Arabidopsis thaliana: one gene and its partner. The protein of the gene in region 1 purifies or fractionates together with the protein of each later gene. This does not show direct contact. Each region holds a gene or a part of one and is shown in the gene's direction. Other genes may lie near its edges.

Region 1 (4,269 bases):
AACACATATAATACAACTCTCATTAGTGAACACTCATGTAACCAAAACTGTTAACCATTAGCGTATGATTGAGAACGATCCTCCCTCATAAAATATGTGAAAGTTATCTAAGGGAATGTTAAGATATAGTTTTTGTTTTATTCAAACACCGTTAGTTAAACTTGAAAGCATGCATGCTAATGTTTGGGATTCGATCCTATGCGAGAGATCAATCTTAAGAGAGGTTAAACTTCACATTCAATAATGTACCGGGAATGGAGACTTCAAGAATCATCGGCTTGATAGACCACTAATAAAAAAATGACAAAAACTAGAACATCCAAATATATGTCGTTCGAAAATGTAATTCCGTAGCTAGCTTATACAATTCTATACACAGAAGATATTTCGAATATAGACACATATAAGATGTTGCGGTAATGCAATTTTAAGTGTAGTTGGACATGGATTGGTGAGAAAAGTAAAGTGAAAAAAAGAAATAATTAAGGAAGAGGGGGCTATAGCTCTGAAACCCTAGACGAAAGCAACACTGCATTGCCAATAGTAGAAACAGTGCGATCACGAGATTCAACTCATTCCTACTTTCTTACTTCTTAGTATCCACTCCACTTGTAGTACTAGCTAGCTCCCTGCCACGTGGTCCTCTCCTCTTCTTTTAGCTTTATGGGCCTTGTAAAGCCCGCGGGCCCCATCTGCCCATCCCATGCACATGCATCACATTATGCTTTCTCTCTATCTACGAAATTACGAATATAAGTATACGTATAGAACACTTTTTACAATAACCAAGGGTCAAAGTTTTCTCGAGTCGGAGGATATGAACTAAATAGTACATTGTCTACCAGCGAAGCTTGAACATGAGATCTTGAGACACATTTCCTTTGGAAGGTACTGAATTGAGTGTTCATAGCGGTTCAAGGAACTCGATTAATTTAAAATACCTGAATTACCATTTTTTTGGGGATTCGTTGTGCTTTTTTAATCAATCTACCGGAAATGAAGACAAGTTTTGCTAAAAACGTAACACTTGAATATTGTAAATTTGTAACATAAAACTCTAAAACCTTAACAAATTAATACCTCTAATTAAAATAGAATACTCATAAAAATATAAAATGTAAAAGATACAAATATTGAATATCTTCTAATATAATTCTAAGATGCGAAAGATATAGTAGTCGAATTAAAGCAACCAATTTCAGCGTTTCCTTAAACTTATATTTCCAAAATATCATCTAGGACAGTTTGTTTTTTTTAAGAATCGAGACCCTCTACTAAACTCTTGCATTCAATTTGGTAGAATCACGTTTTGTGTAGGAGAGAAGTAGTGCTTTTGGTTTGTAGTGTAGAGTAGGGTAAACGTGAGTATATAAAACGTAGAGAGGCATATATTATACAGAGAGTGTGCTTTTAAAGAACGGACCGGCTGAAGAAAAAGATAACGTTGTTGTCTCCGTAAAGGTTACCAAGTATCACTGTCACGTGACCACCACCATTCCTCTTTTCACATCTTTCTCCTTTCGATATTGGTTATATTATAGTTAAGTTAGCATTTAGTTAAATTTACTATATATTAGTAAGCAATGAAGGGGATATTAGTACAAATCTGGACATGAAATGTAGGCCTTTATTTGATTGATTGTCTTGGTATAAACATTTCATATAATAGCTTTGTAGATTTATACAACCAATTAAATAATTAACACTTTACATATACAGAATAACATAAAATGTTTAGATCATATATTTTGTCATTTTGGATCAATAGAGAAAAACACTCATTGTTATTTTCTTATTTATACTTTTCTGTATCAGTCTATGTGTAAAGTACAAGTGGACCTGCCGTGAATGGCATAGAGCCCACGCTTTACTTGTAAAAGTATATTGGGCTTTACGGCCCACGGACCAATTTATGTTTTGCCATTGGTTTTTTTTTTGTTTGTTTTGTTGGGAGTTAAACCCACACATCTTCTTCGCAACTGTTAGTTGTGTGTGTTGTTGTTGTTGGCACTGTGCCACTTTCTCTCTCGATGAACCCTCTCAAGCAAGCTTCTTCGATCTTCCGAGCTTAGTTTCGTTTCTAAATGTAAGTTTTCAAGTTTTTGTTTCAGTAAGAAGATTGATAGACCTAATTATTTGTTCCCCTTCTATATAGTAGAGATTTCACCTAGATTGGTCCGTACATATCTTATACTGGGATTCGAATTTGGCTGCCTCAGAGTCAGAGATTGATTAATTGATCAGGTCACCGGAAACTTTTTGTCTCGATTTGGATCTCTTATGCAAAATCTGTTGTGTCCTAATTCTATTTGATTGTAAATCAATTTGATTCTGGGTTTATTACAGATTCAGCTGTTGAAATCGTGCTTATTGCTACAAATTGAGAGGCACTAAATCAGTGAGGTCGTAAAGAAGAAGGCAACCACAATGATGCAGACTTGTTGTATCCATCAATCGTTTTGTTTCCCTCATAGGTATTTTGTGTTGCCATAAGTTTATAAGCTTTCTCATTTGCTTCATTGTCAGAATATGTTATTTTGGATTCTTGAATATTAATTTTGCAGAGTCTTTCCACGGTTTGATGCTTCGATTGGTATTAAGCCCCCAAAGCTTTGTCAAGTTGGTTTCATTGGAAAGACTCAATCTTATGGGATTTCAAGTCCGATACGGCAAAGAAGATTATATGTGAATTTGAATGCTAATGATGGTCACCCATCCATGTCTATGTTGGAAGAAGAAACCTCTACTGAAAACAACGCACCCAGTCAAGAAGCCGAGCTTCCGTTCAGCAAATGGTCACCTTCTAAGTACATATGGAGAGGTTTATCAGTTCCTATTATAGCAGGACAAGTCGTTCTCCGGATTTTAAAGGGTAAGATTCACTGGAGAAACACTCTTCAACAGCTGGAGAGAACCGGACCGAAATCTCTAGGAGTTTGTCTTCTGACTTCTACATTTGTTGGTATGGCTTTCACAATCCAGTTCGTTAGAGAATTCACTAGACTAGGTCTAAACAGATCCATTGGAGGTGTCTTGGCTTTAGCCTTCTCTAGAGAGCTAAGTCCAGTCATCACATCGATTGTTGTTGCTGGACGAATGGGAAGTGCATTTGCAGCTGAACTAGGGACAATGCAAGTCTCAGAGCAAACTGATACACTCCGTGTTTTAGGAGCTGACCCAATTGATTATCTAATCACTCCAAGAGTCATCGCCTCGTGTTTGGCTCTACCGTTTCTGACACTCATGTGTTTCACTGTTGGTATGGCTTCAAGCGCTCTGCTCTCTGATGCAGTTTACGGGATCAGCATTAACATAATCATGGACTCGGCTCACCGAGCACTTAGACCATGGGACATTGTGAGTGCCATGATTAAATCTCAAGTCTTTGGAGCTATAATATCGGTAATTAGTTGTTCTTGGGGAGTAACCACTACTGGAGGTGCTAAAGGTGTTGGAGAATCTACAACTTCTGCTGTCGTCATGTCTCTTGTCGGAATCTTCATCGCGGACTTTGTGCTTTCTTCCTTCTTCTTTCAAGGTGCTGGAGATTCTTTGAAGAACTGTGTTTGACATATTATTTTCTGTCTTCTTTTGTTGTGGTTTAGATGGGTTTATGTAAATCAGTTGTCTTAAATTGAGAAAGTAACATCATTTTAGAAAGAACAGAAAGATTGCTATATTTCTATTCCAATAATGATACACATTGAATAATCTTGAACTATATAGTTCATCGGAAAATTTGCAATCAGTATGGGCGGAGTTAAAATGTTATGCTATGAACTTATGACATAACATCTTATTTGACCAAGCAGATATAACATGGTAAAACCAAACTAGCTTACTTGACCAATAATCCAAAAAAAATAAGCATGAAGTTTTGAAAAAATGTTGAAAACTGGAAAAACTTGGCCAATCTCTTGACTTTTCTCTTCACCTGCCGCTTTGCATACGACTCGACGCTTCCTCAAAATGAACCATCTTTGTCCTACGAGGGTACGAGCCTGTCTCATCGTCTCGAGCCGCCAAACCAGCTTCTATAACCAAAGCTTCAAGATCAGCTCCACTAAAATTCTCACAACGCCTAGCTATAGCATCCAAATCAACACTTGTGTCTAAAGGAATCTTCCTCGCAAGAGATTTCAGAATCAAACCTCGTTGAACAGAGTTTGGAAGAGGTATATAGATATGTTTCCCAAACCTCCCTGGTCTTGTAATCGCAGGATCCATCATCTCCGGTCTATTCGTTGCACCAATCACAAACACTCCATC
Region 2 (3,663 bases), 2.8 Mb from region 1:
GTATCAAGAATACACCTATGGTGAGCTCTTAATTCACTGTTGTCTCCTCAAAATTAGGACAGTGTTGGGGATTTGGAGTTAATCATGTTGAATTAAGCTCTTCTGTGCCATAATCTAGCTTGAATTTAGCTGAATCTTCTTTTAGTTGCCTACTAATTACGGAGAAAGACTGCGCAATTAATTGAGATTTATCAAGTTTTATCTCTGCTTTAATGTGTTGAGGGTAAAGTCTAATGACTCTTACTAATACTTGAATTTTCAGGAGACTTCCTCTGCTCAGTACATACTTCAGCAGTATACGGCTGCATCAGGAGGTCAAAAGCTTCATAGTTCTGTGCAAAATGGATATGTTATGGGAAGAATCAGGACGATGGCTTCAGAGTTTGAGACAGGCTCAAAAGGTTCAAAGAGCAAGAATAATTCGTCAAAAGCTGTTGAGTCTGGAGGATTTGTGTTGTGGCATATGAATCCTGATATGTGGTACATGGAGCTTGTTCTTGGTGGGAGCAAGGTTCTTGCAGGTTGTGACGGGAAGCTTGTGTGGAGACACACACCATGGCTTGGACCTCATGCTGCAAAAGGACCGGTTAGACCATTACGACGTGCTCTGCAGGTTAGGCCTCTTGTCCCAAGGAAGCCTTCTCATACACTTTTCTTTGCTTGCATAACTGAATTGTTACTGTTGTCAACTTTCAGGGACTTGACCCGAGGACCACAGCGTATATGTTTGCAAATGCAAGGTGCATAGGAGAAAAAAAGATCGATGGAGAAGACTGTTTCATTCTCAAGCTATGTGCAGACCCGGCAACACTCAAAGCTAGAAGCGAAGGGGCATCAGAGACCATAAGACATACGTTGTTCGGTTACTTCAGCCAAAAAACCGGTCTGCTTGTTCACTTAGAAGACTCCCAGCTAACCCGAATCCAAAACAATGGAGGCGAAGCGGTTTACTGGGAGACGACCATCAACTCATACCTAGAAGACTACAAACCTGTCGAAGGTATCATGATAGCTCACTCTGGTAGATCCGTGGCTACGCTTTTAAGGTTTGGAGATATGTCATCAGGACATAACACTAAGACCACAATGCAAGAAGCATGGGTCATCGATGAAATCTCGTTCAATGTCCCTGGCTTGTCTATAGATTGCTTCATTCCACCTTCAGAACTCAGATTTGATTCCCACGTTGAAGACTTATCTCAAGGCCCCAAAATTAGGACATTGCACGGCCATAAAAATGGTTGATGTGAAGAAGCAGGAGATCAATGTGTATAACTCATTCAAAAACAAACCCTAGACCGGTTATTTTACTTTTGCTATTGTCGAAGCTAAAATTCTTGTAGGAAGTTTCGTTGAAGTTGTAAATAGACAGCAGGAGAAGTTCGTTCTTTTTGCCGCATAATGTTAGGAATGTGTAGTCTTAGTAAGGTCAGTCCAATTTTTAGTTTATAATATTGTTTCATATACTATGATAGAAGCTCCCATCTATTTCACCTAATAGCATATAGTATAAAGAAATATTACTTGGTCATCCATACCAATTGGAACTGATGAATACGATCTTCCTTGTATTGTATATCAATAAATTCATAGTGTGAGTGTAGTTTCTTTTGTAGCACAAACTAGTAAATGTTATTTCTCCTCCTACTGTCTATTTCAAACCGTTGCTCATTAGTTTACTCCAAAAAATGGCCATAAGTACTTATCTGTTTGTCTGTCTCAACCATCCAAATCCTATTTGTGAGTTGGATTTCAATGGGACATGAGCATTTTTGCATATGGATTGATCCATTTGCTCACTAGATCGTTTTATTTTACTGTTGACTGTTGTTGACCTTGAGAAAAAGAATTAGGCCGGTTCACTGTTGACCAAATTCTTTTACATAAAATCATTTTGAAAATAATCCCGGTTCATTAGTTAAACCGGTTCGATTAATTTGGTACGTCTCTAAAACAAATCGTCTTCACCTTTCTTCTCTTGCTTTCAGGGCTTGCGATTTTAAGTGGGGGAGGTAGAGAGAGCAATCTACCAGATTCACCGATTACCAACAACAAACAAGGTATCATCGGGTAATTCAGATTCGCAATTTCTGCTCATTTGAATTTATAGATTCCTAAATTGGTTTCTTTTTTTTTCTTGTGAAGATCACTATGGTGCTCTCTGACTTCACTGGAGTCGGTGTTGGATTTGGTAATGCCCCCATTCGCAATTGTTTTCTCCTTTTAATTTTGATTGGAATCGTAATTTAGTTATTGGAATTCATAGGGTTCGGTGTTGGTTGTGGATTTGGCGTTGGATGGGGTTTTGGAGGTTCGTTCTCAACTTCTCTCTTTTTCTGCTTTTACTTGAACAAAATCTGGACTGAATTACAAGATAATTCTATTGGAACAATTCTCTTGCTAGTTGCTATGGGATGTGCAATGCACTCTGCTGTGCTTGTTTAGTTTTGTGATCATATTGCTTAATGTCTCTTATAGAGATTATCAACTCCTACATATCATCTTTACTCAAATGCTTCTTCTTTCCTAGCTAATGGTTGCTTAAACGCATAGCTAGTATCAGTTGCGCTTACATTTTGATGGATTCATACTATTTTGCAAACCTACTGAATTGGAGATTTCCGTTGCTTTCATGCAGGAATGCCTATGAACATCTTAGGTGTTGGTGCTGGTAAGCATTTCAAACTTCTACTTCAAATATCCCACACTCGCATAGATACACACCGAGCAGGTTTTTCCTAAATTCTAATTACGTAACTTATGCGTCTGGTATTTGACAAAGGTGGCGGTTGCGGGGTGGGTTTGGGCCTCGGGTGGGGTTTCGGGACTGCGTTTGGGAGTCACTATCGTTCATCTAGACTTACATTTCAAGGCATCGAGTTAGAGACTGCCGATAAACGGGAGGAGGTGGTGGCTAACATGTCCAAAAACTCCACTTAAGCAGTCGTGTGCTTCAATACTCTGCTCGGATTGATTGTAAAAGAATTCTGACACCTTTTCTTATTTCTCAATGAAACGGTTACTTCAAATAATCCAATACGAAATGCATTTCTGTATTCTGAATTGTCATTTTTAGAAGGTTCCACTTCAATCTTGGGTTTAGTCCCAAATAATTCTACAATGGTTAATAGGATTGGTGCCTAAGAAAACAATGATTGCTCAATGAAACCCGTTTCAAATAATCGAACCAAAAAAATGCATTTCTATATTACAAACAACCAAAAACAGTTGGAATTTACTGTACAGTAAAAATGTGGATTGCCAAATTCGTCTCTTTCGCTGTTACACAGAAGATGAATGAACTCGAACCTTGCTATTCCAAACCTCTCTTCTACATTGAATGCACTGCAACTACCACTGCAATCAGAAAAAAAAACAATTTATCTCAAAACTCAAAAGTGATGCAGTAAGCTTTGCGTTCTAAACATAAATGATTCAGAGTTCAGTAAATCTTACCAATAAGAAAAACTAAAAGAATAATCCAAATTGCAGCGTGAACCGATTTACTATATCGCATTCGATACTGAGACCGTTGGAGTTGCCTCTGTAGAGCTCCATACCAACCATGAAGCTGCTTTTCATAACAGTCCTCCTCACACTCCATACAACTCTTGCCCCTCTCTGAACATCCATTCATATCTTGCTGAGAAACAAAAAAATAAA

What was found.
Region 2: the proteins of ABCI14 (region 1) and AT1G27695 purify together in Arabidopsis thaliana (affinity purification with western blotting, with the first as the bait; one study listed by BioGRID). This does not show direct contact.

Annotation. Positions count from the first base shown.
Region 1 is NC_003070.9:6,844,385-6,848,653, forward strand, and holds ABCI14 (trigalactosyldiacylglycerol 1), read left to right. Parts: upstream 1-1,953; 5' UTR 1,954-2,086; exon of another isoform or gene 2,087-2,158; 5' UTR 2,159-2,244; exon of another isoform or gene 2,245-2,346; 5' UTR 2,347-2,427; coding exon 2,428-2,474; intron 2,475-2,564; coding exon 2,565-3,570; 3' UTR 3,571-3,738; downstream 3,739-4,269. UniProt on the Arabidopsis thaliana protein: Required during embryogenesis. Permease involved in lipid transfer from the endoplasmic reticulum (ER) to plastids, and necessary for thylakoids formation.
Region 2 is NC_003070.9:9,637,063-9,640,725, forward strand, and holds AT1G27695 (glycine-rich protein), read left to right. Parts: upstream 1-1,961; 5' UTR 1,962-2,060; intron 2,061-2,084; exon of another isoform or gene 2,085-2,145; 5' UTR 2,146-2,151; coding exon 2,152-2,191; intron 2,192-2,266; coding exon 2,267-2,311; intron 2,312-2,638; coding exon 2,639-2,671; intron 2,672-2,782; coding exon 2,783-2,940; 3' UTR 2,941-3,142; downstream 3,143-3,663. Other genes in the region: AT1G27690 (lipase, putative (DUF620)), read left to right, coding at 1-20, 263-613, 697-1,245; AT1G27700 (Syntaxin/t-SNARE family protein), read right to left, coding at 3,332-3,357, 3,457-3,643.